2 linked regions of the Daphnia pulex genome follow. The protein of the gene in region 1 interacts with the protein of each later gene in a pairwise test. Links are inferred from orthologs where the notes say so. Each region holds a gene or a part of one and is shown on either strand. Other genes may lie near its edges. The genes, in order: golgin subfamily A member 2-like and NADH dehydrogenase [ubiquinone] 1 beta subcomplex subunit 9-like.

Region 1 (15,919 bases):
ACACGCCAATGAAGCGATCTAGTATAGCTAATACGTGGGTCGGATCCATAGGTATGGCACGCTTTTCTTATCAATAGTTCATAAAATAAAATTTTTATAACGTTTTACAAATAGTTGGTGCCCTTCCTCCCCTGATGGGTTACGCTGGTTGCACTGGTTATCTAGACGCTGGCGCATTGGTATTGGGTGGAGTTTTATATGCCTGGCAATTTCCTCATTTCAATGCTTTATCGTGGAACCTTAGATCCGACTATTCCCGTGCTGGGTATAGAATGATGGCCGTCACAAATCCAGGTAGATGTAGTAACATGATAACGTTTATTGTCTCAGCTATAACCACCACCTTCAATTACTGTAGATCTCTGCCGGAGAACAACGTTACGACATACCGCTGCTTTGATAGGAATTTGTACGACCGCACCTGTTATTGGATTAACAACTTGGACGTTTGCTCTGGACTCTTTACCTATAAACATGTATTTTTTGTATTTAGCTTGGCGTTTTTATCGCCATTCGGATAGCTCTAGTTCTCGGAAACTTTTCCGAATGTCTTTGGCGCATTTGCCTATAATTATGATCCTTATGCTCGTTCACAAGAAGAGCGAGGACAGTGAAGACTGGCTGCTGAAAACAGTTCGTGGTCTCTATCCTTCTCTTACCCAAAGTTGATGCTCCTTGCAAATAGAACTTTTAAATAAAAGTGGACTAGTCGGACCAGTGTAAATACAGTATATTCAAGGAATGAATGATTATAAATTCCACAAATTAAAATGTTTGATTTTTAGGGTTTCACACAAAATTATATTTGCTTCAGTTTCCAGAGCTGAAAGTGTATTAAAATAACTTTCGTCCTCTAAAGGAACTCTTCTTCGAACTCTTGGTTTCGGTGGTGGTTTCATCAGGTACGTCCAGTGAGTTTAAATGAGCTTCTAAGGCTGTTTCTGTCAGCTAAATAATGATATAAATTAGTCATAGAAATTGTTTAAATCTAATGCAGAACTCACCATAGTCAACAGCAAATCTGCTTGAATTTTTAGATAATTGTTTTCTCCTTCAAGTTTCTGAAGTAAAGTGCTTGATTTTGCTTTGGCATTGGGAGCGGTGCTGATTGAAACCCACTTGGCGTTTTCAGAATTAAATTCAAACTGTTGGTTTTCTCCAAGATCCAGTTTCACCTTGTCTATTTGAATGCTAAATTCTCTCTCCAGTTGTAGCGCATCCATGTTCCGTCTGAGATTTGAAACAGTGGACGTTTTTCTTGCAGGGCATTTTTTTGGTTGAAATTTACTACGAAAAAGAGGCATTATTTGTAATCTGATACAACTATGAAAATCTTGTGTTTGAAACTTGGTTACCACGACGACCGCGCGTAATCGAAGGTTTCCAAAACAGGTGAAGTTGCGTAACCCCATTTCGTACGTACGTGCCACACTCCGTAGTCCGTACGATTCCCCCTACATTTCGATATCGTGTCCCAACGTTTTTCGTAATTGTAACTTCTACTCGGCTTATTTTTTTAGCTGAACTCTATTCGTTGCAAACTAGACATCTGATCAATGAGATAATCTAATTTACTCATTTTCTTTTTTTTGTTTGAAAAGGGGCAACGTTGTTTGCTTTCATACAACAAAAATTTATAACGTCATTCAATAGTTATTGAGAATGCAGCGTATAATTAAATTCAATCTAATCAGCCAAACTAGTTTTGTTGCTCGGCGGCCCATTTCTATCGGTCGAACAGCTAGCTTCCAATCATTCAATGTTCAGGATCAAGAAGATTTCCAGAAAAGAGTTTTAAATGCCTCCACGCCAGTCCTGGTTGACTTTCACGCCAAGTATGTCGCATTAACTTTTTGTTTTACATGTTTTTATTTACTTGTTGCATCATAAGTGTTCTTATTATCATACCAGATGGTGTGGACCATGCAAAACTTTAGGGCCAAGACTGGAGGCACTGGCTGCAGAAAAATTAGATAAGTTTCATCTTGCCAAAGTTGACATTGATAATGTCCCCGAGCTTGCAGAAGAATATAATGTATGTTTGCCCGATTACATAATTATAATTAAATCTATCCCAATCTTTAATAAAGACATTGTGAATTATTGTTTCAGGTCACTGCTGTACCATCAGTCATTGCTATCAAGGGAGGAAAAGTTGAAGGATCATTTGTTGGAGTTTTAGACGATGACAAGCTCAGAGCATTCGTCAACAAATTGATTGGAGAATGATCTATGTTAACAATTGTATGATGTAGGGGGGAATTACACAGTTTCATGATAATTTTTTATTTCTCAGTACACAAGTTATATATTCTTCTATTCTACAAAAACACAGATCCATCAGCTGGTTTGAGGTAACCAACAGCTACTAATATCACATCAATCAAAGTCCATACTCCAGCTCCTCCAAAACTAAACAACTTGCCAATCCCTTCCTAAAAATTTAGAAAAATTAGCTGTTGAATGCAACTTCTTGTTTAAAGGAATTCACCTGCCAGTGACCAAGGTAGAACCTATCAGCTCCAAAACCACCTAAGGTAATGCTCAACAGTAGAGTTGTAGTCCACTAGCAAACAGAAAAATTTAAAAAAATATGATACATTTAGTATTAATTAACATTTATTACCTTGTATCCAGATGTCCAATTGCATCTAATATTTTTGAAAAATGTCCTCTGTCCTAAACACAAGACATGTGGTTTTGCAGTGCAGTTGGATCTGTAGTTTTGAACTGGGTTAGCTGGTGTGTTACAGTAGCTGCCTGTTGCATTGCAGGAATGATCTTCTGGAGAAGTCTGGTAACAATATTGACATCTCATAGTTTTCTCAAATACTTTAGGACCCTGTTGATTTAAAAAAACTTACTTAAATCTAAAAATATAGTTAAAATTTGCTTTAGTAATGCATACATCACATTTTGGAATAGCTTGGCAACTGACATTTACCAAGTTACCATAGATACATGTAAAATTGAACTTGCAGATTATGCAATCAGCAGGTAATGAATGGCACTCCCTATCAATTGGGCATATTGAATTGGAAATATGCCATGGTATTACTCTTTCGTTCAAAATTTCAATCGTTTGCTCATGAAGGAAATTATTTGCTAGTCCCACGTCCGTAACGTTATCTTCTTTCGGTATTGTTTCACATGATTCCTGTAGGCAAGCTTCTTCTGTCTGATTATTCGTACTCGAATTATTGAACTCATCCGTCGTTTTTGTAGGAATAGAACACAATAGTAAACATAATAACAGTAGTTGTAGTTTACTGACATTTTTTGACATTTTTCCACTGTACACAATGCTTTTTTTGACGCAGTGGCGCCAATATTATATAATTCAAATCAAGTCCTTACTTCGTGTCATCCGTCAAAATAACTCTTTTAGAACAAATAGCATTTAACTTAAATAATCTCATGCAACTGAATTTTTGTATGGTCATAAGATGAAGCTGACTTGTGGAATGAATTTCTTGATAGCGTATTCACGTGGTACTTTGAGGGGCTGAATTCGGTTGCTCACTGCATAGAAAAGAGGGTTGTATAGAAATGGATAAAAAAACAAGTCTTATTCCGAATCAAGATTAGATTCTTAGTGAATCATCAAGCATTTAAATTAAACTTATTTAAACTACATTTCATTCTTGATTCGGAGCAAGACTCTTCTGCGAGAAGCTTTAGTAGTAGGGTAAACATTTACCTGAAAAATGAAAAAAGACTAACAAAAGTAGCTTGATTGAGAGTAGTGATACACGTCTCATGTCTCATCCAAAGATTAAGAAATTGACGAAGAAATTCTTGGAGTTTCTTTCGTCGATCTTCCACCGTTTTTTCTTCGCGATAACCGAATTTTTTTTTCGGCGGAAAATGAATTTCGGCGGTGAAAGGGTATCGTTTACTCATTTCTTTGCGGAATTTATACATTTGTGAGTATCTCTTGAAAATAGTCCACTCAGTATCACCCATCCGAATGTAAACCTGAATTTCAATCGGCGACTGAAATATAACCAAAATTCTAGATTGGGAATGAGAAAAATTTGAAAAACCTGATAAACGTGATGCGAATCAACTGTTCCTTGAACTAGAAAAGTAGATGGGATCCAAACATGAATCCAGGGGCTTTCAGCTGATGAAGCCAAATTACACAAGTGACTATTATCGTCATTATTCATAGCATAATCAGAAGGCAAAGGGCCGCGCAAATGCACCAATTCAGTTCTTAAGCGGTCGGCAAATCGTTCAGCTGCTTTCAAACTACACTGAAGGTGAGAGTTGAATTCCATCAATTCACCATGCATTTCAGCAACCTGAAAACCAGAAATTTATTTCATTTTAACTTCAAACTATGAATCAAGTTGTGTTCAGTATTTGCCTGAATCAGTTTTTCTTCAAAATGGCCAGCTTCTTGGTGGTAATCTGGAGGAGGAGAGGTGGACGTTGGTGTAGGAGCATTATTAGCTGAATTCTTCAACATCTGAACAGCCCCCATGTAGTGCTTTAGTTGTTCTTTGAGAATGGAATTTTCCCTAAAAAGAAAATTTCATTTTTCTTTCACCATAAAATATGAAAATTTAACCTATTACCTCGCATATTCACCATTTTGTTGCTCGGCTACCTTTAATCGATCTTGAAGATCCTGCTTCTCAAGCTGAACGCCATGAAGTTGTAACTGAAGGGATGATTTTACTTCTTCCAACTGGGTTTTCTTATCAGTGAGATCTAGGAGCATTTGTCTCATTTCAGATAGGTTCATGTTGGAGCGCTTCGTTTCCGCCAATTGTGCATCCTGCGAGTCGACGGATTTGATGCTCGGGCTACTTCCGGTGTGTTGGAATATTAAGGATGGTGTACTGCCACTTTGTGGAATCGTGATTGCTGCACTATTGAAAGCTTTTGCGGGCTTTTCATCTTCTTCATCATCACTCTCGAAATCAACAACCCGAACTTTGGATTTTTTTTTTCGTTTTGTTTGCTCTTGTTCTGCAACTGGCATCTTAACTGCTTGGGGTTCTGGGCGAAGACTTTGTATCATCAATTTCTTAGATTCATCAACTTGGTCCAGCTCTTTGCGATCAACTACAAGAGCAAATATCACAGAACGCAAATCTACAATAAAATATTTTAGTCTTATTGAATCAGAGGCTGAATAAAGCACCTTAAAACCTTTTGCTGAAGTAAGTAAACACTCTCTTGATGAGGTATCATTCATCAGAGATGAGGATTCATAATAGTTAAAAAGGAGATTCTCATCTGAGAAAAGCATCCGCAAATAACGATCAAGTGAATGCTCATTGATAGCTGAACGCAGCCATGCTCTTCCTCTTCCATAGTCTGTGCTTACATTCTGAATGTTATAATATCTTTCTTGTTCATGTCTTGTCAGATGGTTTCGCACAAAGTGCCAAAAAACTAGGTAATAGCAAGAATTTGTTAATATAAATCAACCAGTATGTTTATATTCATACCTCATACCTGGTATCTGTTGGTCTGCCTGCCCCACTGGATTCATTACCATGCTTATTCCATTGGAAACTAATTCGGTAACATGTCTGTTTAAATACACAACATACTAATTACTGTGAGGGCACGTCAAATTACTAGAATACCTTAAGCTGAAACTGTTGACATTGAGGTTTATGCTCTTCAAGTTGACTCCATTCTTTATTTTCAAACCATCTTGAAGTATAAGTTCGAAGCCATTGATAACTTTCATTACTGACGGTTCAGCTTCTGTAGCTAACAAAGTTCTTCCTCCAAATTTCTTTTCACAAATTTGGACATTATCCCGAATGACTTTAATAAGTTCATCGCGGTATCGAATGTTTCCACTTTCCCACATTGTAAGGCTTTTTCAATAATTTTTAGGGGGAGGGTTTGTTTACAAAATGAAACACTAGGTCACGGGCACAAATGTCTTCGTAAACCGAGAGCGGACAGTTGTTGCTGGCCGTAGTTTTAATTTATCATTTTTCTTTCGATTTTTCCCTTCGATAAAAAAAAGGTAAATCAATATTTTGTGTTTAACGGTATGAAATGTTTTTATTAGTTGAGACAAATTCATGAGAAATGAAATTGCCTACGTAAAAAAAATAACGTAAACATGGCGATGGTGTCATGGTAATTACAGCGGTAACAGATGGTAAATAAATAGAATTCTTAATCCTTTGAAATTTTATTTATTAATTGCATAGCTATAAATATTTAATTTTCTATGTGTTCATCAGAACCAAAAATTTAGCCTAAACAGAATGGATGTTTGTTGTTAAGTATGAATTTATGATCGAATTGGCATAATTTGCTGGTAACATTAGAACTGGCATTGTTGCATCTCCATTTCTCTCGACTCTCTTTCTTGTTAAACGAAGTCTGAGGTAAGTTTCTTTGCTTGTTCATCTGTTCTCATCGACGAAACGTAATTTCGTAGGTTCTTGTTTATTTGTTTCTTGTGTTCGTTGTCAAAGCCAAGTAGTGCTCATTTTTTTTCGAATTTCAATTCATAGCTTGCATTTTTTTTTACAGGAATCAAGATGGGTCGTCGTCCGGCTCGTTGGTGAGTAGAATCATGACTGGCTATTTGGTATGGCTTTTAACATGTTGGTTTATTTCTTAGCTACCGGTATTGCAAAAACAAGCCATACCCCAAGTCTCGTTTCTGTCGAGGTGTCCCAGATGCCAAGATCAGGATTTTCGATTTGGGCAGGAAGAAGGCTAGCGTAGAAGACTTCCCCCTCTGCGTTCACTTGGTTTCCGATGAGTACGAGCAGCTGTCTTCCGAAGCGTTGGAAGCTGGTCGTATTTGCGCTAACAAGGCAAGTACCTAGTAACATGTAGTATCTAAGACAGTGAGCTAATATTATTATATGCATTGCAGTATTTGGTGAAGCACTGTGGTAAGGATGCATTCCACATCAGAATGCGAGTTCACCCTTTCCATGTCATCCGCATCAATAAAATGTTAAGTTGTGCTGGAGCTGATAGGTACTATCTATTGATTTATTGGTGTTTCGTGTGCTACAAGTGTTTTCTTAATTTTAGGCTCCAAACAGGAATGAGAGGTGCCTTTGGCAAACCCCAAGGTACTGTTGCACGTGTGAACATTGGACAGCCCATCATGAGCATTCGCTCTTCTGACAAGTACAAGGCCGCTGTCATCGAATCCCTTCGTCGCGCCAAGTTCAAGTTCCCTGGTCGCCAAAAGGTATTTTCTTTGTGCATGAATTTGAGATTGCAGTCACTTATTTCTTTTGTATATAGATTTATGTTTCCAAGAAATGGGGATTCACCAAGTTTGAACGTGGAGTCTATGAGACCATGAAAGAGAATGCCCAGCTTGAACCTGATGGCGCAAACGTCAAGTATCGCCCAGATCACGGTCCTCTTACTGCTTGGTATAGATGGCGTACGATTTTCAGCCAACAGTAATTTGGTTGTCCAATCCATCTTTGTTATTCAATTACCATCTTTGAATTTTTTCAAATAAGAATAAACAGAGGTGGAATTCAAGAAATGTTCTTATGATGTATTTAATGGAATAGTTAGATATTCATATAGCAGTTGCAAAGGCACAATGGGAATGGAAATTTTTAAATATTGATAATTCTTCCTGAATACATAGGCCAACAAGGGTGGAAATTTTCGTCAGTCTTGCGGCTTAACTGCTCCAAAGGGAAAGTATCCGGTTGTGTAGCAATTTCGGTTGTCGATAAACTGCAATCTGTAATTTCCAGTAAAACGTCAACAATCCTGGAAGCAACATGATCCAGCGAATTTTCCACTTGATTTTCTACATCCGGGTCGTTGGTACCAACGATGGTTAATCCATCTTCACAATTGGCTATAGGTTCAGATTCAGACTCGGGCTGTAGTTGAAGCCACTGAGGAAACTTTTTCAACTGCGGAGCCAAGTAAGGTAAGAGAAGTGTCAATTTCGTTATCCGTTCCTTTAGTTTCTGACGTTCAGCCGTCAACTGCTCAGCTCGTCTACTCAGCAGTCCGCGCTGCACTTGATACAGACTGACATATTCACCTGTAAATCATGTTGAAAATGGTCAAGTCCTTAAAAACTAAAGGTTACAACAACTGTTACTCACCAATAGTTTCTGTTTCACTCTGCAGCTGTAGAACCAAGTGATCTAGTTTCTTTTTTTCTTCTGTCAAATCAGATACAGTAGCCATTGAACGTTTGAGTTGCTGTTCGATTTGTTCGTAATGAAAAAGAAGTTTTTGGTGTACTTCATTAGGCACCCAGTCAGATTCTCCTTCTACAATTGCAGTTTTGAGTTTTTAAAAGTATATAGGCTTCAGTTAGGTACAAAAGTGTCATACCGCTTTCGGATGAGGAATGTGAATGGTCTTCGTTAACGTCTTCGTGATCATGGCGGTGTTTCCGGCTACCTCGAACTGGAGCTTGATTCAAATTCCAGATTACTCGTTTTTTTAGTTCGGCATTTTGATGCGAAAGCGCCTGAATTCTTTCCTGTATCAAAACGGTATAAATCAAAAGTACCACAGCGGAATGTAATCAAATTACATACATGAGCTTCTTCTAACTCCTGCTTCCAATAGATTGTCGCGTTTCTTTGACCGGCCAAGTCTTCCACCTGTTGCCTGGAATAATTTCGTTTTTAATATCCAATTTACGCTTTCTGTTCAACTTAATTTTAAATTGTTACCTTAATTGAGTAACCTCTGGATCTAAAATCTGCAATTTTTCATTCATCTCTTTATTCTGACGAATCATCATCTGCGATTCTTCAGTAAGTATTAGTTTGTCGTTACTCTGCAACAAATTAACATCAATATCTAAATTTAATGACAATCACGAAAGCGAATTTTACCAGCTGAATGAAAGCTTTTTCAAGTTCTTCGAGTTGCATTTTCAACTGGCGATTCTGTGAAATAGCGCGAGAGGCTGCGGACTTATCACTTTGCATAGCCTTAAATTTTTCAGTGGCATAAACAAATTATTGAATAAAGATAAAGCATTTTTAGTATAATACTTGCAGAAGTTTCTCTCTTTCACATTGATCTTGATTAGCCGTTGCAATGGTCAATTCACTTTGAATGCGATCAATGCGGATTTCAAGTTCTTGAATTCGCGATTCCTTTTCTAGTGCCAGTTTAACTAGTTCTTCGTTATTGAACTCCTTTGAAAATGCAGTGAAAAAATTGTTAGATACTATTCAAATTAAAAATCGATAGAAATAAAAATTTCAACCATTTCAGTTATCTTTGTTTTCAACATGGCGATTTCCGATTCAGATTGTGGTGCGAGATGCGACTCGGCAGGCGTAATCATTTCATGGGGAGGATGAGATGAAGACGCAGTTTCTTGATTGTTCTTAAGAACAGCAATTACTGCTTCTAATTCGGCCAACTCATCTTTTTTGGACTCCAGAGTAGCTTCTATATTTCTTTTTTCTAAGGCCAGCGACTCTGCCTAAAAATGTTATTCAATATATAGTATTTAAAAAGTACCCACAAGTAATTCAAATAATAAGTTTTTCTTGATAAAAGTACCTGTGAACTAATCGTGCGTATCTGTCCGTTAAGTCGAAGAATATACTGTTGATACTGTTGGGCTAGTACGTCTTTCTCTATCCCAAGCGTTTTTATCTGTTCTCGTAGATCACCGATTTCTTCTTGGAGTTTTCCGTTTTCCTTTTGCATTTTTTCAAGGGTTTGATCAACAGTTGGTGGACCCGCGTTTTTCAACTATGTCATACAAAAATTAATCATTGTAAGGTTTTTTTTAATTTACAGAAATGATTTACCTGCTGCATATTGACATTGAGTAATTCTACTTGAAGATTGAGTTCCTTGATAATGGAATCTCTTTGATTGATTTCAGCTGCTTGATTGTTGTGATGCATTTGAAATTGTTTGAGTTCTTCACTAACCTCACTGTAAAGCTGATTTTTCAGACACAGTTCTTGGCTAATTGATTCAAGTTGATTTGTTAATGCAACTAAGTTTGACTCCATCTTTCCAGTTTCCTCTGTAGTAGAAGCTTGTAGTTGCAAAAATGAGGATTTAGTAGCATCAAGCTCCTTTTTCTGAAACATATTTTCTTCTTCCAGTTTTTTCACTGCCTCTTCACTTTGGGAAAAACTTACTGCCAGTTCATTTTTTTCTTCTATTAAAATAGAAACAGTATTTTTTAATTCTTCTTCTCGTATAATTTGGGCTGAGACGACTTGTAGTTTTTCTTTTGATTTCTCTTTCTCTTCTGTGAGTAAGTTTCTCTCCTCATCCAATTGAAGTTGCAATTCTCCAATAAAATCTTTTGAATACTTGAGAGATGAAGAGATGTCATTCTTTTCTCTTGTCAAGGTTTCAATTATCTGCAGCAATTCAGATTCCCTATTTTTATCAAAACTATTGGGCTCTTTGCATAGGATTTCGGAATCAATCTTTAGCTCTTCACGTTCTGTGTTAAGATTATTGGGAACCGGAATTACAGATGCGGATTGATCAATTTCACTCTGATGAGGTAACTGCAGTTGGCCCCCATTTGTAGTAGCTCCTTTGGATCCACCTTTCTGTTGAAACTGCTTCAACTAAAATTTAAATGAAATCGTTTAGGATTTTAGTGCAGAGGAAGTATTTTTATCAAAGAAATAAGAAATATAGTATGTGACTACTTTTTTCTTTGCTGCGGCTAATTTTTCTGCCTTGTTGGCATCCATGTTGTCGGTATCGTAAAGTAAACACGAAACTGTACGGACGAACGTCGAAGTGTTGTCAAAACAATTCCCGGTCTGGTCTATAATTTTACCCCTAGATGGCTCATTCTAAAATATAAATGACACTTGTTTTGTCCCGGTAAATTCAGTTGCAGTGTTTCGCTTGAAAATACAAGTGTAGGTGTACTGAAGATGGCTAATTTTGCAAAAGCTATAAGCTAAACATTTTCACGAATTCCAACTTTAAGATTTTGGTGAGACACAGCAATAATCTCGGGATTACTTGGAGGTATCCCACCATATCCAGAACCAGTTACACGATCAAAGGTAATTTCAAATTTGGGATTTTTTTCATAAGAATAATGGGTAACAACGTCGTCCAGTTTATTGTTAAAGAATTGTGCAGCTGCAGATGCCCAGACACGATCCCTTTGTGAGGATAAGATGTCATTTGAGACTTCTGCATTATTGTAGTACTCGTTATTCTTCAGGTTGGTTTTCCAACTTGCAATTGTGATGTTTCCTATCATTGAATGAATGGAATTAAGCAATTGATTAGAGTTGCTGCATAATTGGTTTAAATTTATACCAGTAGTAAGATCAATTGTGTCATCCTGAGTAAGATAGTGGACAGATACTCCTTCAAAATTAGTGGTCTCCGAAGGAATAACAACAGTGTTGGTGACATCAGCTATAAATACTCCCCCACGTGTACCAATAACCTGTAACAAACAAGATCATACTGTATGTCCATAAAAGTTAATATTAGAATGTAATTTGATTGCTAAGAGTTCTAGATTTTCGATACTTTTCCCACTGGCCGTGTATACAGATCCAAAACTAGGAGAGCCATGTCTTCATCTAGTCCAAAACCTCGAGTAGTTCCTATATCGCGATCTCGTGAATCTTGCAATACCCTGCGTTAAAATAGGGTATGAATTTGTGATGATCAAAAACGTGCTTTGAAATAAAACCAAACCGTATAAGACGAGCTTCTCGACCGCGTTCACTGAAATGTGTGTCGGGAAGCCAACCAGCTAGAAACCCCAATCCACCATACTCATCGTAAGATAATTCGTCTGGGCGAAGCGGATTGTATCCGCCACTAAAAGCACCATAGGTTAATCCATCGTAACTTGAACCCCCCGTAATCATTACCGTATCGCTCTAAATCGTACAAACGTACTGTATCTGAAATATTCATAATTTTAAAATGGTCGCACAAAATGTTCACCAATTTTTTACCAGACAAGCGGCTCCGGCGCTCGTTCCTCCTACAGTTGCACCTGCTTTTAGCATATCTTTCACAGCAGTAAGAACGAGAGTATCTCTGCCTCTAGGACGAAGGGCTTTCAAAACCCTCGATTGATCACCACCACCGAAGAAAAATCCAGTTTGTTGTCTTGTTAGTTCGGCTACAGATGGGTCGTTGGCGTTATTACTTGATTCAGTAACTGGAATGTACGTTGCGTTTGCCGCCCCGTATATGTTGACAAAAATATCAATATAATAGGCTGCCGAGTCTTCAGGATCTGCGGATGCCGTAGTAAAGACACCGATTCTGGCCACACCTCTTCCTCCCTTTTACATAAAATTTCCGTAAAGTTTATTAAACATTTTAAATGGTCACTTGAATGAAATTGTGTGTATACCGCAAGCTCGACCACTTTGCCCCAAATTGCTTCATTTCCGTCGTTTAAGTTTCCACCGACCAATACTAAACTTTGAGAAGCAGCAAAGTCAACAACTATTGTGAGAAGGGCGAAAACTAAAAAACCCATCGCAAGTTTTCAAAATTTCTATCTTTTAAAGAAACGTGCGTATAGTACTGATCGTTCGATTCGTCAATTCAAGCTCTGCGTAATAGAAATTTCCGTTCGATGTTTTATACGCAGTTCACTGCTACTTTGAGAAATGGTGATAAAAGATGTCAACTATAGTTTAGACCCAAGTTTTTGAAAAATTGCTTAACCGTTTGTCTAGGCAACGATTCCTTATTCAAAGGTCGAATCAGACTGGAGTAAACATCCACCTCATGTTTACCCAAACGCAGTTAGATATAGATAATAGCAGTGTTAAAACGCAATCCGGGTGTCATGGTGAGTTGAAAGTGAAATAATTATCACACAAAACTCGTCACGTTAGGTAAACGAAGAGTCGAACTGAAAAGGAGCTTAATCGTCTATTTACCTGAATTGTGGTATCTTTTGACCTTTGTATATAGTTAAATAAGTACTGTATATAAATAGATAAAATTACAAAATAATGATGTTCGGTTGTATCATCTTTCCTTTAGTTACTTATATAATAGTCCAACATCCATTAAGTAGAGTCTACAAAACTTAAACCTTAAAGAATAGAAATTGTGCTATTCGAGTTCTGCACTAAGTATATCAGTATATTTATGATGCCACATTCAAAGAGCGGTTATAGCTATACAGTTTCTCGAATACCAACTTGAAGATTTTCGTGGGACACTAGATAGGTTGTAGGATCGGTAGGAAGATGCCCACCATATCCAGCAGCCGTACGACGATCGAATGTGACTTCAAATGACGGATTTTTTTGAGAAGTAGTATGCGTAACCACGTCATCTAATTTGTTATCGAAGAACTGGGCCGCCGTAGATGCCCATTCACGGCTCTTCCTGGCAGACAAAATGTCACTTGAGACGACAGCATTGGTGTACACCTCTTTCCCTTTCAAAGGATTTTTCCAGCTGGCAAATGTGATATTTCCTAAACATTCACCAATTGAAGGAATGAAACAGTTATCTGTCTTATACGATTGGGCTAGAAATGTTAATTTTACCAGATAAAAGATCAATCGAGTCATCCTGCGTGAGGTAATGGACGATGACTCCTTCGTAGTTAGTTGTTGCTGATGGAGTTACAACTATGTTGGTGACATCAGCCACCAACACTCCTCCAGTAATTCCAATAACCTTTTGCCAAACGTTGTTATTAATATTTCAATGTTTAGTTAAACGATGCCATTCATTTTCTATACTTTTCCAACAGGTTGAGTGTACAGATCCGTGACTACGAGTGCCATGTCTTCATCAACTCCAAAACCTCTGGTTGTTCCGATATCGCGGTCCCGGCTATCTTGCAGGACTCTAATAAGGTAAATTGTGAATGATTAGTAATTGAAAACACTAGATTTGTACTACAAACTCACCGAATAAGACGAGCTTCTCGACCACGCTCGCTAAAGTGTGTGTCGGGTAACCAGCCAGCCAAAAATCCCAAACCACCATGTTCGTCGTAACAAAGACTACCCGGATTATCTGGGTTAGGTCCGCCACTGAATGCTCCGTATACCAATCCATCGTAACTTGTACCGTCCGTAATCATAACACTGTTGCTCTGAATCAGTCGAAGCAAATTTAAGTTTAAATTAAATATCTGGTAAAATTTGATTTCAATTTTTTTTTAAAGTTGGCTCAAATGTTACCAGACAAGCGGCTCCAGCACTTGTTCCTCCTACAGTTGCGCCTGCTTTTAACATTTCCGTCACAGCGGCAAGAACGAGCGTCTCTCTGCCAGCAGGTCGTAGGGCATTCAAAATCCTCAATTGATCACCTCCGCCAAAAAAGAATCCAGTTTGCTCTCTAACTATATCGGCCAAAGCAGGATCATCGGCGTTGTTGCTTGTTTCAGTAATAGGAATATACGTCGCGCTGGCCGCCCCGTACACGTTTACAAGCATATCGATATAGTAAACCGCCGATCCTTCAGGATCTGCCGATGCCGTAGTAAAGACACCAAATTTGGCTACACCTTTACCTCCCTTTCAGAAAAAAATTTAATATTAGAGGAAACTAAATTTAATTCTTTTAAAAATAAATCGTATACGTACTGCAAGTTCGACAACTTTATCCCAGATTGGTGCATTTTCGTCCGCTAAGTTGCCACCTATGAATACGACACTTTGTGGGGTGGCAAGACCAACCAAAGTTGCCAGCAAGGCGAATGATAAAAGAACCATCTCAACTTCTCAGTGAAAAGCTATTGGTCTCACAGCTCGATCATTTACTACTCCGTTTCGTACAAAATTTGGTCGACTGTTTTATACTACTTTTGATCAAGGAATGGTGATAAAAAAAAGATTGAAACATTTATTTTTGTAACTGTATGTCAAAAAAGTATTCAACGACTTTGCTCTCGCCAAGGTCCTAGAATACGAAACGTCTGAATACTTTTTTCATTTGTACACGGATCAGACCTGAAGTAAACAAACACTGACTTGTTTACCCACACGCAGTTGGGCAGATAACAGAGTTGCAATGCTATCATGTTTTCGTGAGTTGAAAATGTGAAATAACAACAATATGGTACGGCTAAGGGACGTGTTTACCCAGTGTCACATTCTGGGTTTTGTAGTTATTTACGTCTAAGTTCAGGCGATTAGTAGTAAGGTAGTATATTTTTATTCGTCTTATTTAAGCGCGTTAACACTGACAAGTAAAAATATGTCTTTTATACTCTCATATGTTTCCTTTTTTAGCTAGAAGATTTCAATTTTCAAAGTTTGAAATAAAATAAAAAGAATCCGATCATTTTGATTTTGCAGATAAACAACTGAATCAGTGTATTAGTAAACTACTGTAGAGCCCCTAAAGCTCATTTTCGTGTGTTCTAGGAAAGCGCCAAAAGCCTATGTCACATTTAACCAATAGTTGTACTTTCATGGATTGCAACTTGGAGGTTTTCGTAGGACACAACGAATGTGCTGGGATCGCTAGGAAAATATCCGCCGTATCCAGCACCATTCAGACGGTCAAAAGTAACTTCGAATCGGGGATCCCTCTCGAAAGATAAATGAGCGATGAAATCATCTCTTCTATTGTCAAAAAACTGGTCGGCAAAGGTAGCCCATCGACGATTCAAATTTGCGGATAGAATATCAGTGGACACGTCGGCGTTCGTGTAATATTCGTTACCTCTCAGGGGAGACTTCCAACTTGCAAATGTGATTTTTCCTAATATCAAATTGATTACGTTAACTTGTGCCCAAATTTATCCACTTGAAAATGTTGATTTTGTATACCAGTGGTGAGATCAATCGAGTCGTCCTGAGTTAGGTAGTGGGCTGAAACCCCCGTGTAAAAAGTATTCTGAGATGGAACAACCACCGTGTTGGTAACATCAGCAAAAAACACGCCTCCACTAGTACCGATAACCTATTTGTCAATTGCTGTAAAATCTTTTGAACAGAAACTGAAACTACAA
Region 2 (14,460 bases), on another chromosome or scaffold:
TCAGGTGGCGGAGGACGGATAACCTGCGGAATGGCTGGATCTAAAACAATAGAAAGCAAATTACGATTTTTTCTTTTTTTTTACAAATTTAATACTGTGGTCGAGAAAGAGAACAACAACAAAAAAAATGTAACGAGAAAAAACAAGGTGCGACCGCAACCGCATGCCTCTGGACAAAAATGGGAAACCAGAGCAAACCAAGAAGTACCAACACCACCCACGCCAAAGCTTTTGCTTTCTTTTTTTTTTGTTGTTGTTTTGTGTTGAATCGACTCACCCAGTTTCACTTTGTCGCCGATTAGTACCGTGCTTGACTCTTTGTCCGAATTGATCTCGAGCGGAGGGGGGGTGCGAGACACTGAAAATGCCAAGAAACACATGAAAATAACAAAAATCACGTTGTTCCAGTTAAGGACTTTAGAAAGTTTGTTTTTTCGACAAATATCCCTATCGATAAATGGCGGTTTTGTTCACTTTACGGTTCACAAAAAAACCCATTAACTCACATGACTGTAGCAAAAAGAAACATGACAAATAAGGAGTTTTGCGCGCATTTTGACACGGCACACAAGAACCAAATTTGGAATGACTTGAGGTAACTGGAACAACATTTAAGTAAGACGATAACCACAAAATGATGAAAAGTACCTTTCCGAAAAATGTCGTGCGACATGCAAAAAACCTGTGAACGCACACAATAACCTAAGAACTAACGAACTAAGAAAGCCATTCCAGACTTACACTCTCTACCACGAGGTTGAAAGATGTTGTGGTAGTGGTTCAAGTCCTTAATGTCTGCAGCGATGCCGTCGTCTTCCGTCTCAGTGCTCGACTTTTCATCCGACTCTATTGTGTCGTGATTCATCTTGATCTGACTTTGGCGCAAACCACCCGGCGGTCGCTCCTTGTTGAAACTCTTGCGAAAAGATACGCCGTGCTGGAATGCCGTTCCTCCGCCTCCTCCTCCTCCGATGCCAACTCCTCCTCCGCCGAGGCCAGAAGAAGTCTGTAAAGAATCACCGAAGGGTGCCACTTTCTTCAGGTCGATTACGTAGATCGACACGTTGCTCAAGTTATACGAGACACCAATCTGTAATTTAAAACAGGGGATATAAAAAACCAGATATCCATCTAAATTTGAACATTTCTTACCAATTGGCCAGAGGTGACGGCCATGTCTTGGATACGACCCCATGGTAGTGGAATACAATCCAGGATACGGCAAGGTTCCCATCCATACACTCTCAGTCCATCTTGAGCTGCACTGAATAAACATTTACCCTCCGGATGGAAATAAATCGATCTAAGAATCATATTTCAAAATGTTAATGTCTGTCCATTGGTTTTCTATACGAACAATTTATTCGACGAACCTGATGCCACTTGTTTCTGGATCGGAATTAGAGACTAACGTAAAGTTCTCCAAATCCCAAAAGAGGACGCGTCGGTCAGCGGCCCCCGATGCCAATAAGAACTCGTGCGGGTGGAACACGACCTCAGTGACTGCGGCTGTGTGTTCACGCAACTCAGACAAAAGTCGGCCAGCTCTCAGGTCCCATATCTTTTTGTAAGCAATCAAACACAAACTGATGACTTGATTGTCCATTTTTTTCCTTTTTTACAGAAAAGGAAACGAGGAAAACCGAAAATACCTTGACGTAGCCATCATCACCGGCCGAGGCCACCCACTGACCGTCGGGACTGAATCTCAGACTATTGACGGTCGAACTATGTCCTTTATACGTGAAAATGCAACCTTTGCGTCGAATATCCCACAGCTAGCAGGACGAAAAAGGAGTTTTGATGAGTGAAGAAAACATAATAATGAAATGTGTGGAGGTTTACTTTCATGTTGGTGTCTGTTGAGCCAGTGGCGAGAAAGTCGCCGTAGGGATGGAAATCGAGGGCTTTGATGCCAGCCCGATGCCCAGTCAGCGTGCGCACCATCCGCGCCGCCTCCAGATCCCACACCTTGACAGCTCCAGCAGCGCTTCCCGCGCACACCAATTCTTCCGTTGGAGAGAATCTCACCGCTTCAATAGCCGTTGTATGGCCACTCAGACTCTGTTTTTTTTTTTTTAAATAGATAAAAAAAAGAAAAACCATTTATAGAGGACGACAAATTCTTTTTCCCACGTTTGGCAAGAGATATCCACTCCATCCGAAACATAATGTTTTCTTTTTATGATTTTCTTGAAAGAGAAAAAAATAGGTTCTTCACGGTAAAAATTTATGTTTTCACGAACAAAGCCGAAAAATGTGTTTCAATCACGGCCATCTTTACATCTTCTTGTATTTCGGCATTCCGAGAATTGTTGGTCTGCCCTTTTTTGTTCGGTTTCACCAAGCACGAAGGGGAATCTTGTGAAGGACGAGCTTTACTCGCTACTGTTATAATACTTTCTTCCGAGATGAAATGCAGACGGGAGAAGAGAAAGAGCCGGGAGAGGTGCCCAAGGCCTCATCAGGAATAGGCGGCACGTGACACCACACTTGTGTCATGACCGAAAAAATCACGCACAATCACGAGTGTTTCCAGAGATCATCTTGAATTGTTTTGGGTGGTGTATCTCAAACTTGAAAAACTGCCCAAAAAGTGGTCCGTACCACTTGCGTTATCCCGACATGGACACACAAACTCAATTTACCTTGACCCCTTTGATTGTCGGCAACGACTACGACGGACGACGGGGAGCAGCAGCGGGATTCGGAGGGCGGATAACAAGAAAAGAAAAGAAAGACAAAAAACGAACCGGGCCCGCAGGCTACTGAGCCACGACCTGTACGTCTTGGAACGGTCTAAATCGTGCAGTCCAGCGGAATAATCTCGCGACGTTTCCCACACAAATAGACGCAAGCCAAAAGGAGAGAAAAAAAAAACTACCGACGTTTAGTTCCACACGGCTTTCGGAATGACCATCCAACAAGAACCGAACAAACCCGTTAACCCATTCACGTATCTCAAAACAACATAAAATGATTGGACTATACACCCCCTGTTCTACAGCTCATTAAAAGAACAATGGGCACCGTCCGTTGCAAATATCAGAAGGGAAACATCCGACAGACGATTTTTCTGGGCATATTTTTTGGCAGACACGGATGGCAGATGTTGCTGTTTTTCTTCATAAGGAGAGCAGAAAAAAACGACGACGTGGTTGCTATGCCAACCTTGGCAGACCAAGTAGGCCTAATTAATCAGGATTCACTTGCATAAGGGAATTCTGTCATTCAATAATACAGCTAAACTAACGTTCTAAAGCTGGAAAATAAACAATAAAAAGGAAAGAAAAAAAAAACGAAAGCTACAGCGCAGACAGGAGATCCTTCCGTAAAAGGCAATGTTCGTCAAGCTCTCTCTCTCTTTCTTTCTTTCTCGCTGGTAACCAGTAAAAAAATAAAATGCCAGCATACGTGTGGGTTGTACGTAAGTCAGCTAGCTGAACGCTCGAGGACGACGATGAGGTAATGCATCCTTATTAACAACTCCTAGCTGAACCATCTAACGGAAACAAGTACGAAACAATACGTATGAAAAACAAACATAGTCGAGCATACCAAAAGTAACACGCACGAAACAAAAGTTGCATGTCGATAGCCTCAATCAAAAAAGATTCAGAATCTATAGCGTGACACGAGAAGAAAGAAGGGTGCCCCGACGTCGTCATGGATACAGGGCTGGCGGTTGAGTCGATTTGAATCGAGGGCGCTGTCTTACTATGCCCTATATGGAACTTGACTCTCCTGTTTAACGGCTTGTTCTATGCAAATCCAAGACAAATTTTCCAACGGTCAGCGAGAGTGAGGGCGCAGATACAAGCAAACACTTTCGTATTTATCTGTGAATAACACTCAGCATCCACTTTTCTATTTACCTTTTGATTACATATACCATGATTTCCAACATGGCGGAAGGCCTTTCCCTTTTAGTTTAAGTTTTCCCTCAAAGAAACCTGGGCTCAAATTCCGCTTCTTTTGTATTTTTAGGAAACCTCTGGAGAATGTCACGCTATGAAACTAAAAAAAACAAGAGATTGAATGCCCGACGTCAAGGGCAGATGGTAAATGACGCTAGAAACGCTCGTCAATACTGCTAGACAATGAACACTGCGGGTTGACGGATTGGAAAAGGTGAACATCTTTTCGTTGGAAATTAAAAAAAACTGAAATACACAAAAGAAGAAAGCAGCCATGGGAAAAAGTTAACTGTCTTGACTACTTTTTCCCGTTGTGGCCCGAGGATGAGCTATAGAACAACCGCACGTTGCCCGTTTAAAGCAAAAACATAGACAATTGTTCATCAGCTGCCAAAATGTTCATCTGAGAATTAAGCCCTTGTTGCAATAATAGAGGCCGCGTCCTCCATCCGGACGGTCGATTTGACGCTTCAATTGGCCTTCGTATTTCCTCGCAACGCGCTGTTGGCCAGCCGCGGCGGAAGATGGGCCTTTCCCCCACTTTATTTCTCCCTCTTGCCTTTTATTCTATTCTATTTTGTAGTATCCCAAAAGCCGAAGGCTACATTTCTGGATGATGACTCGAGACGCATTGTCTGCCGATCCGGAGCCGATGAATTAGGAAAAATCTTCTACTCGACAGCCAAAGAGAGAACAGATACAGCGAACCGACTATAAGAAAAGAAACTGTCGTAATTCTACTGCTGCTTCTTGCTTTTCCCACCGATGAAGAAGAGAGAAACACGGTCGGTCGAGCTTCCGGTGGAGACCCGTAACGACCTCCCAAGTATTACGCCTTCAGGTGATCTCCCACCCCTTCAACACCCCACTAAAAGTCTTTGTTTTCCCCAACATCTACTATTTTCTGAGATATAATTAGGAAATGCACACAGTGAATCAAAAGTTCCCTGCCATTAAACGGTCATGGGTTTTCTTTTCAGTCTCTCGAATAATCTCAGGTGAACAGAGTTCATCCAACATGCTGGGAAATCTAAGTTTGTTGACTTTTGTCTTGAAACAAAACCTCAATGGTTAAAGAAACTGTAAAAATGTAATTGTGTTTACCATGATGCATGATGGTTTGCCAATTGCCCATAAATTGACTTTTTTGTCATCTCCCCCGGTGACCAAGACTCGTCCTGACTTGCTTCCTAAGGCCAAGCAATTCACATTGGCTCCATGGGCAGAAAACTCTTCTGCAAAACAAAATAAGAATACAGTATGGAAATTAGTTGTAGGTGTAGAATGCATATGGTGAAAAAAAGAATGAAAGAAGAAAGTGGCCATCACGATTTTTTGGCACACCGACAGCAAGAAGTTTGGCAATCTCTGTGAAAGATCTAGTAAAATGCAAGGTTGTTGGAAGAAAAGATCAAAATCTTACGAAGTTTCCACGCTCTTTTCGTTGTCGTAGCCATGGTTTCTGTTTGGCAGAGCCAAAAAATCAGGGGTGAATCCTAATCCTGTGCCCTAATCAACCCACACACTCACACATTCACACACAGTCACACAGGGTTTACTTGTTTATCAGTTTCATATCATCTTATCATCATCCAGATGAGAGTGTTGCACATTTAATTCCACTAAGGAGAAACTGTAGAGTAGATATGTGATGTTACGCCATTCTCAGTACGTCTGACATGGATTTTCGTCTTGAAAGTAGAGTTGGAATAATTGGCGGGTTATAAAAGAAATGGGACTACACACCAATCAGGGTTAGAAATACAGGTCAAACTTTTTCTTTTCTATAAATCACGCTGAGAATCACAGTAAAAGTGCCTATTGAAAAAATAGAAACGGAAGAAAATCAGGACACACTTTTTTACTTCCACAGTAGCCCAGTAATATTAGACTTCCGCTCTAGAGCTCATGCAACTAACTGCTCACTGCTATCTCTGAAGAACACAACGTTGAGAAATGTAAATTTTAAGGAGAAAAGAGAATTTCGTCTGCTCAGAGCCACCTGGTGAGCTGAGAAAAGGTTCACTTCTAATTTTCTATTTCATACCAAATGATTTATGTCGACTTTTATTACATTGAAAAATAGATTTATGTGAGAAATATGAATCTGTGATAATTTTCAATCTTTTGTAAGTACTCGAGATCACATCTGCATTGAGTTCGAAATAACATATGCTCGTTTATACTTACATAAATAATATAAAATGACATAAATCTACAAATGCGTGCAAATTATAGGTTTTTTAAATGCTATAATATCTTTCAGAAATGAAATACAGTAAAATATGATGATCAAATAGTTGGTTAAACTTATACATGACACCAAGGTGTAATTTTCGTTCTGCTAGGCAGCTGTTTTTTTCTGTTGTTTTCTGAATTGAAGGTTCAAGATGGCGTATCTCCAAACTGAGATTCTTGGTCATACTCAAAAAGTATGTAGACTCTATAAAAGTGCTTTGAAACACGTCTTTGAATATGCACCTAACAGGTTACTCATACAAATTTTTAATTATTTTGTCAGAAATAGTAACGTCTTAACGTGTCAATTGTACACTTTTCAGAGCTGCATATCGGTACGCTGCTGTATGTGTTAGACAGAAATTCGAAGAAAACCGTCATCTAACCGATGCCCTCAAAGTGCAAACTCTCATTGAGGATACAAAGGAGGAACTGTTTCAGAAACAACACAGCCACCCTTTCCGATGTAACATCATAATTGATCTTATTAATTGTTTTATTCATTAAATTTTTTCATCTTTAAAAAATAAAACAGATGCTACATCACCAGGAGGATCAGCCTATGGACGAGAGCTCAAATCTCCTGACTGGGTGCTAGACCTCTGGAGCCCAGATGAGAAAGCTCAATATCCAGAGTATTTTGCTCGTAGAGAGGAAATGAAGAAAGAGTATATAGTCTACTGGGAAAAGAAGTTTGGCAATAAGGCAGAGGAACTACATCATCATCATTGAAAATTTATTTCTGCAAATTACTGTGTATAGGCATTGACAAATAGATAAGAATTCAGACAGAAATACAGTCAAAAGAATTCAAAAGAAACAACACTGTGGTATTATTATTAAATTTGATGCAAGCAGTGAATCATGCAAATATCTAAATTGATGTGTTGACTGATACATTTTTCAAGCCATAGACCACCATTTCCTTAGCTTCCTGGTATGTGACATGGAATGTTTGTTGGACACCATAGACTAGAGCCTTTATTGGAATACAGAAACAAATTAAGTTAAACAAGAACTGTATCACAATAATATAACACAAGAAAAATACTTCTGGCATCAATAAATCTAGTACGAAAGCTCTTTTATGGTCGATTCCTTCCTTTAGTTTTCGGACACGATGCACGTTCTCGTCGAGAAAATCTGCCACCTTGCTGTATAGCTAAAATTATTCGTTTCAGGAGAAGAAAGTCGATTAGAAAACGCAATCCATATTTGCATAGGATAAATGTATAAATGATTAAATCATATTCGTTGAGTGATTCATTTATCCTTTTAACCGTGACACAATTTGAAAATCAAGTTTTGCACGATGGCTAAAAACAAAAGAAACAAGATCAAGTACATGACGAAAGATCCATCATGCTGACGAGACCATTTAAAAAATGAAATGAAACCCCCCTTCTCGATTTCGGTGAATACTGGTATCAACTCACGACGATATAAATATTCGAGGCTAGTCTATAACCGTTTTACCCACGCAAGTGAAACCACCCGTTGACAATCAGAAAAGCGCCAAGAACATTTCCACACGGGTGTTGCATGTGCAGCGGATTATGTTCGGCGATGCGAGCAGCAACATTGCATCCATCTTCTCTCGATCCCACCGTCTAAAATTTCATGAAGTTTTATGTCACCTTTCCGCGCAAAACCCAGCAGGACCTAATGATCACGTAATTACAACATCACGTGACCGGTATCTCTTTCTCTCTCCTGTCGCTGAATAACTTTCGTCACGTTTCCCAGCGAGCCAGGGAAAGTAATGACGGATAGCATATTATTCAGAACCCGAACTATACGCTGTCTTGTCCAAAAGTAGAGAATATTTCCCGCGTTACAGGGGGTCTTTGAAGGACCACCCGGAGGCCAAAAATAAAACAATCACGATCAATGCAGTAAATATACTTGCCTCGCGTGAGTTTTCCAGAATGCCAGATGTAGTTGCGGAACGAGTCAACTGAATCCAGCTCTTCGACTCGTACAGGTTCAGCCTGAAGGCCCTCTCTTCTGAAGGTGATTCAACAAAGTCAGCAAGGTGCTGAAGGCAGGAATCGGTCAAAACATGTTTTTCCAGCATCGTGTTCACAATTTCTCGCCTCCTACTCAATTCCTCTTCAGACTCTACTACAGTCTACAACAATTGCAAAAATGAAACCAATGATTCACAAAAGTTTAATAACACCAAGATATACCTCTTCTTCAGAATCACTGTTGTCCATAAATAACGAAAGGTCCATCATCTCTGGGGATGACGTTAAGTAGCGTTCGGAAAACAATTTTACAGGCGCTGAAATGTTGGAAAATCAAATTTAAAAACAAGGGCCATTTTATAAGGAAATGCTCTTGTGCAATTGATACATACAGCGATGGCAGGAAGTTAAATACTGTCTGGCGGTGAGTTGAGTAAAATTCGGTTTGTTGCGTAAATCAGAGAAACTGGATGCGTGATCGAAGAAGAAGTCGAGTTTTTGGCGGTCGGCTGCTTTGTTTCTAGTCCTGCCGAAAGTCTGTTGCGAGCAGAACATGTTTTATGAGAAGAAAAGCAAAATTGTCAACCGTAAATAAGAGAAATCGTGCATCAATCTCGTCATACCAGAAGTTCAAGGTTAAGCTCGTGGTGAAAGGCAGCAATGACTCGATTGCGTTGGTATTTGCACTGATTATTGGGCTGCTCGATGTTGAATGCCAGAAGGGTCATGGATTTGGGATCTGACGACTCGATCACGGCTCCCGGCAGGAAAAGCCGAGGACTCTTCTTATACCACACCAACGTATTGGGCTCCAATTCTTTCACATTAATTACGTTGCCAGATTATTTGAATTGCACTTTCTGCTCTCTTCACTTCACAGTAATTTTTGTAAAATTTATTATACTGTACCTTTATTGACGGCATCTCCATGTTTGTTGAGCAATTCCTCGGCGAGTTGGGACTTGTTACCTTGACATACGCATGTTTTTAAAACCCCTTGCAAATGAATGAATAAATAAATGCCTAAGTTACCCTTGGTGGGTGTACCCTTGGAAGACGCACATTTGGTTGACCTTTTACCATCTTTGGAAGTGACTGACGTTCTAAAAGAAAATGAAATGAAATCCTCCAATACGTAAATAACAAAGAGAGTAATCAATAAACAAAACATGGGAAAAAAAAACAGATCCATCAACTTTCAAGTCAAAACTAGCTAGGTATAATGCATCGTTATTTTATTTACACACAATAACCCCACTACTGAATTACTGACCCACACTTGTAAAAACTTTCTACTGCACCTCGCGGTTGTTTGTTTTTTGTTATTTTTAACGAAAGCATTTTCATTGTTTCGGTTCAAACCGAAAGACAGAAGAATGGAAGGGAAATGAGAGAAAAATCAAGGCTGCGACTCGGAAATTCAATAAAACAATACACGTTTGTGTATTTTACTTTTTTTTTCTTGTTTCTGTTTTGTCGTATCTCTGTTCGGAGTGTATCAGGGTAGGAGGTGGGGAATACAAAGGTCATCATCATGATCATCAACACTATCGGCATCGTTTTCCACTTCGCATCAAGATATAAAGACGAGAAAATGTTGCATTAAACAACAGAGCTACGGTAGAAATGCCACTCAAGTGCAAATTTGCTCTTTCAACCTAAAACGGTGTTCTTTCATGTGCCAGACAATTCTCAAGGCTTCAAAAAAAAATTGAAAAGAAAATGGAAATTCGCAGTGTAGAATATAGATTGCACGTAGAATTCCAGAGAATTGGTGAAAAAAGTAACAACACTTGAAAAAAAAAAATGGTTTTTATACTCAACGGGCCTTACGTTGGATTTGACTGCTCGTTCTGTTGAGGTTGGGATACGGCAGAGGCGGCGACCGCCATCTGAAATAGGTTTTCTAAGTCACTTCCGGCCTGCAGGGAGGATGGATCGATAAGCAACGTCTGAGTGCCACCGGTATCCTCTCCGTCACCTCCGCACTCCAAGAATTCATGTATATTCGAGCCGGGTTCCCACACGACCATGTACGTCTCTCCTCCTTCGACCTGCATCAGAATGTTGCTGCCACCGTTGGTTGTGACGACTTCGGTTGCCTCTCCATTTTGAGTCATGGACACAATTTCCTCTTCATTCTCGACTGCAACTTCGACTCCATTCTCCAGTACGGTTTCAATTCCGTTTTCTGGCAAGGCCACTGCTGTTACTTCTTTTTCGACTGACAAAGTTTCACAGAAAATGTTCTTTTCTTCTTCGACTACCACCTGATCCATTTCTCTTGCATTTGTTGAAGGTTCTAAATTTTCATTAATTTTGGCATCATTATCTTGCAATTGACCTAATTCTTCCTCCTCCATCGTCTGCTCTGGATTGGCCTTTGCAACCTCGTTCTCATCAACTTGATTCATACTTTCTTCTACGTTTACTGATGGATCTGAAATGGTATTCTCGACCTCGTTCTCATCAACTTGATTAATATTTTCTTCTAAGTCTTCTGATGGATCTGAAATGGTCTTCTCGACCTCGTTCTCAACTGCTTGATCCATTTTTTCTTCTAAGTCTTCTGATGGATCTGAATTGGTCTTCTCGATCTCGTTCTCAACTGCTTGATCCATTTTTTCTTCTTCATTTACTGGTGGATCTGAATTGGTCTTCTCGATCTCGTTCTCAACTGCTTGATCTATTTTTTCTTCTTCGTTTACTGGTGGATCTGAATTGGTCTTCTCGATCTCGTTCTCAACCACTTGATCCATTTCTCCGTGTTCCACTGGCGCTTCTGCATTGGATTTTTCGATCTCCTCGTTCTCGACTTCTTGTTCCATTTCCTCGTCGTCTGACTGGGAGGATTTTCTCTTCCCGACCTCGTTTTCAACGACTTTACTAAGCTCGGTTATGTCTGGGATAATAGGTACACTAGTCTCGGCTAGAAGAGATGCCACGTCGAGCTTGATCTCTTCTTCGCCCTTTGAAGGTTGAGGATCACGGGATGGCGATTCGACGCCGTTCACGAATGCTGGGCTCGTGTCTTTTCTAGGAGACAAACTGTTGGTGGATTCGGGTTCGCCGTTAATCTTTGAACTTCGTGTTTCATGATTAGTGGCATCGAGATCGGCATTGAGTTTATCTATTTCGGCGCTGATTCCAGCTATAAACGACGCTTCTGTGTTCGATGCCTCTTCATCATCCTGGGTGATTTTCTCGGGACTTTTGAGGATCGGTGTGTCAGTCTCTATTGCTGCGTCGTCGTCGTCATCTTCTTCGTCGTCGCTTCTCTGATGAAGGAGGCCGGATTTCGATGGCCGAGTGTCGTCATCCGAATCACTATCTGCTGTTGGCTCTACTTGACTCTCCGTATTAGTTGAAGACACTTCTGTTCTCTGGATCTGTTGCTGCTTCTCTTCCTCGTCATCCTCGTCCCAATCTGCCATCAATTTGTTCTTAACTTCTGGGTTAGCTTCTTTCTGAAGGGACTTGAGCCATTTCTTCTTCGGATTGAATTGTGTCTTGGTGTCATTGGCTTTAACTGTAGGAGTTTTGGCCGACGTTGCAGCGGTTGCAACTTTGGCTGATCGAGGTGTACGAGGCGGTTTAGGAGTTTTGGCTACTTTCGGCGAGGCTTTGACAGACGTTTTCGACTGAGGAGAAGGTTTGCTATCGGTTGTCTCTTTGGGTTCTAAGTTTCGCTTGATTTGATCAAACAGGTCCCCATCAGGTTCTGGTTCTGCGACTGTCTTACTCTTTTTACTAGTCGTCTTTTTGGTTGGCGAATTCAACGGCCTCTTCTGCGCAGCTCTTTGTTTGGTGATGTTGGTAGTAGTAGGTGTTCTGGTGGTAGCAGTGTTTGAGCTCTTCAGGTGTTCAGATTTCTTATGGAAAACCATAAGATTGAGGCGAGTAGTCTGAAAGCTACAACTGTCACATTTGTACTCGCCGACTCCTGGCGATCCAGTAGCAGGCGATTTTTCTTGTCTCCTAATTCTCACTTCGTGATCCGATTGGCCCTGAAAGCGAGGGTGATTGACTTTAGGAGTGACGACTTCTTTGGCAGGTGGGCGGCCAGGACGTCGCGGAGAACTGGTTGCTCCCCCTTTAATGGGAGATTTTGGTTTCAATTCTTTCACTCTGGGATCAACAAAAATGTCTTTGTACCTAAAAAAAGGGGAAATGGTTATTTAAGAAAAAAGCCTTGTACTGTAACATAACATTCAATATACTTTGACTGTGCAGGTACAGCTTTCTTCGGTTGATATTTCTCATCATCAACTATATCAGGGTTACCACCAGTCAACTGCTCGGCTTGTTTGACATTGTTGGCGAATTTTATGAAGGGACTACTTGTTTCATTTAATCTTTTTTTCTCGAAATATTTTTCTGTAAATAATGAAATAAGTATTAAAATCATGCCTGGTAATGATTCTATATGAAAGAATGACATGGCACTAGACTTGGAATGAAATCGTTCTGAGAACATACAAGTTTTGATCACTTTCCCTGTACAAAAAGAATACAAAGAAACGGTAATTATTGGCAAACCCAGCACCAAAACTTACTCATTCCAATGGATATGTATTCTTCCTTCCGGTCTGAGTCATAGGCACAAATGATGGCTTCATCTTCCACAAATTGGTAATTTTCTTCATTTAGATATTTCACGACAGCAATAGTTTTGTCGTTTACGTCTCCTACCAAGTCTTGGCGTAATTCCTCCACGTTTTCGACACGTCCGGCCCACCAGCCAAGTCTTTTGCCGGCCATGACCCAAACCACATCCCCACATTTATAGTTCCTTGGCTCCATGTCACATGCAGCAAATCTGATTGAATGCAACCAAACTAATCATGAGAGTTTTTGGTTAATAATTGCGTTTTTGTTTTGAGATTGTTTACACACATACCTGCATCTAGGGAATGTAGCCCTTGTTTTTTTACAGGGAAACCGCTAGGCAGCGTCATTCGGTATTGAATACAAAGTTAAATATTCGACCGCCAGGTGGCTGATTTTCCCTCGCAAACTGAGAAAATGCGACGCGGGATCACACAAACAGCCCAAATAAATAAATAATGAAGACGGCTTCATGAAAGCTCTTGTTGGAAATCAAACTACTACTTGAAACACCCCAAAATCACTAGACTGAATCAAATAAAAAAATTTGTTGAAAATTAAACGGCGGACTGGGAATCCCTACACATGTCACCACAAACAGGAGAAGGTGGGGGGTCGTTTTTAAAATTGCATATTTTGAAATCCAAACTCCCCCCCCCCCTCTTTGATAGTTGAGTGGCAGCATATTTCATAGTTTCTAAATCCGATTGTGTACAAATCACGCGGTCCGCATATTATGCAGGGTGGGGCTGGGCAACTGTTCAAGTGGCACCGAGGGAATTGAAAAACCTGGTCAAACAGGGTTTCAACCATTTTATTTATTCATTTTTAAAAAACAGCGCGCATTACAATTTCAACCCCAGTGATTGACAACTTCATCGCAGCTCGTGTGATCCCTCGCAGCTGCGGTTTCTGCGGGAGTACCCCAAAGAATAAAATAACCCAACAGCCCCAAATGGGTCCATTAAACAGAAAAAAAATGAACTGAAAACGGTGCGGGGTCACCAACACCGAATGTGTAAAAAATAAACGCAGCCCAAAAGTTGACCTTTACCACTTCATTTTTCAAAAATCGTGAATGAAGTTGAAAGGAGAGAACATGTACACATTTCTTTTCTTCCCATTTTACCAAGAAAAAAAGGAAAAATAACAAAACTAAACGCGGATAATTGCTCTTGTAGATTTCCCGTCGAGTCGACTGGTGGATAGAGTCATCATCATCCGGTAGTAGAATAACAGCACGTACACAGCACAGAGGAAAAAAAGAACTCGCCAAGATATGATATAGTATAGACCAAGGGTTGGAAAATAATTAGTCGTCGCTGCTGTGTTGTGTGTTGTGTCGTCGCTCACCAAATTACAGAGGAGACCCATAAGGAACTATACTATAGTACCTACCGTAACGTCGTCCCCTCTCGTTTTACATTTTCAATTCTTGTCCTTTGGCGAAAATGGAAGTGGGGGAGTGATGAGCGGGAGTGAGCTGTGTGCGTCTAGGTGAACCGATCTGGTGGGGCGGCTCATTCACTGAGGTACCGACAAGAGCTGTACGCGCATCTCAATACAAGTCGAGTGGGTGGAGAGTTTTTCTAATATAAAAGGAGCTTTTATATTTATTCTATATACATACTATACTTTCCCTTTTTTTTTGTTGTCTTCCTGCTGACTTTCTCTGGGCATAATGGAGCTGCTGTTGCTGCTACTGGGGAGGATAAATGAGAGTAAAA

Evidence for each region.
Region 2: the proteins of golgin subfamily A member 2-like (region 1) and NADH dehydrogenase [ubiquinone] 1 beta subcomplex subunit 9-like interact in a two-hybrid assay, tested with the Drosophila melanogaster proteins (2 studies listed by BioGRID). The link is inferred for Daphnia pulex from reciprocal best matches to the Drosophila melanogaster genes GM130 and ND-B22.

The regions. Positions count from the first base shown.
Region 1 is NC_060017.1:7,936,251-7,952,169, forward strand, and holds golgin subfamily A member 2-like, read right to left. Parts: upstream 10,825-15,919; 5' UTR 10,689-10,824; coding exon 10,644-10,688; intron 10,560-10,643; coding exon 9,774-10,559; intron 9,715-9,773; coding exon 9,520-9,714; intron 9,440-9,519; coding exon 9,218-9,439; intron 9,147-9,217; coding exon 9,000-9,146; intron 8,937-8,999; coding exon 8,838-8,936; intron 8,780-8,837; coding exon 8,673-8,779; intron 8,608-8,672; coding exon 8,535-8,607; intron 8,477-8,534; coding exon 8,326-8,476; intron 8,262-8,325; coding exon 8,091-8,261; intron 8,027-8,090; coding exon 7,584-8,026; 3' UTR 7,499-7,583; downstream 1-7,498. Other genes in the region: protoheme IX farnesyltransferase, mitochondrial-like, read left to right, coding at 1-51, 115-294, 359-669; protein chibby homolog 1-like, read right to left, coding at 835-948, 1,005-1,412; thioredoxin, mitochondrial-like, read left to right, coding at 1,663-1,835, 1,912-2,035, 2,113-2,229; TM2 domain-containing protein 3-like, read right to left, coding at 2,322-2,435, 2,492-2,566, 2,627-2,842, 2,909-3,286; sorting nexin-29-like, read right to left, coding at 3,486-3,522, 3,701-3,978, 4,047-4,307, 4,373-4,526, 4,584-5,106, 5,164-5,409, 5,473-5,549, 5,607-5,839; 60S ribosomal protein L10, read left to right, coding at 6,528-6,550, 6,611-6,809, 6,872-6,978, 7,036-7,198, 7,255-7,422; cyanophycinase-like, read right to left, coding at 10,904-11,208, 11,275-11,407, 11,494-11,602, 11,665-11,852, 11,931-12,266, 12,338-12,466; cyanophycinase-like, read right to left, coding at 13,119-13,423, 13,497-13,629, 13,695-13,803, 13,866-14,053, 14,142-14,477, 14,547-14,675; cyanophycinase-like, read right to left, coding at 15,356-15,669, 15,738-15,870.
Region 2 is NC_060020.1:1,140,606-1,155,065, forward strand, and holds NADH dehydrogenase [ubiquinone] 1 beta subcomplex subunit 9-like, read left to right. Parts: upstream 1-6,246; 5' UTR 6,247-6,307; coding exon 6,308-6,405; intron 6,406-6,478; coding exon 6,479-6,621; intron 6,622-6,690; coding exon 6,691-6,887; 3' UTR 6,888-6,975; downstream 6,976-14,460. Other genes in the region: katanin p80 WD40 repeat-containing subunit B1-like, read right to left, coding at 1-40, 278-358, 742-1,090, 1,153-1,303, 1,374-1,561, 1,653-1,778, 1,846-2,064, 5,022-5,152 and 1 more; uncharacterized protein LOC124192399, read right to left, coding at 7,030-7,134, 7,207-7,317, 8,065-8,286, 8,348-8,442, 8,518-8,662, 8,749-8,942, 9,035-9,228, 9,959-12,280 and 3 more.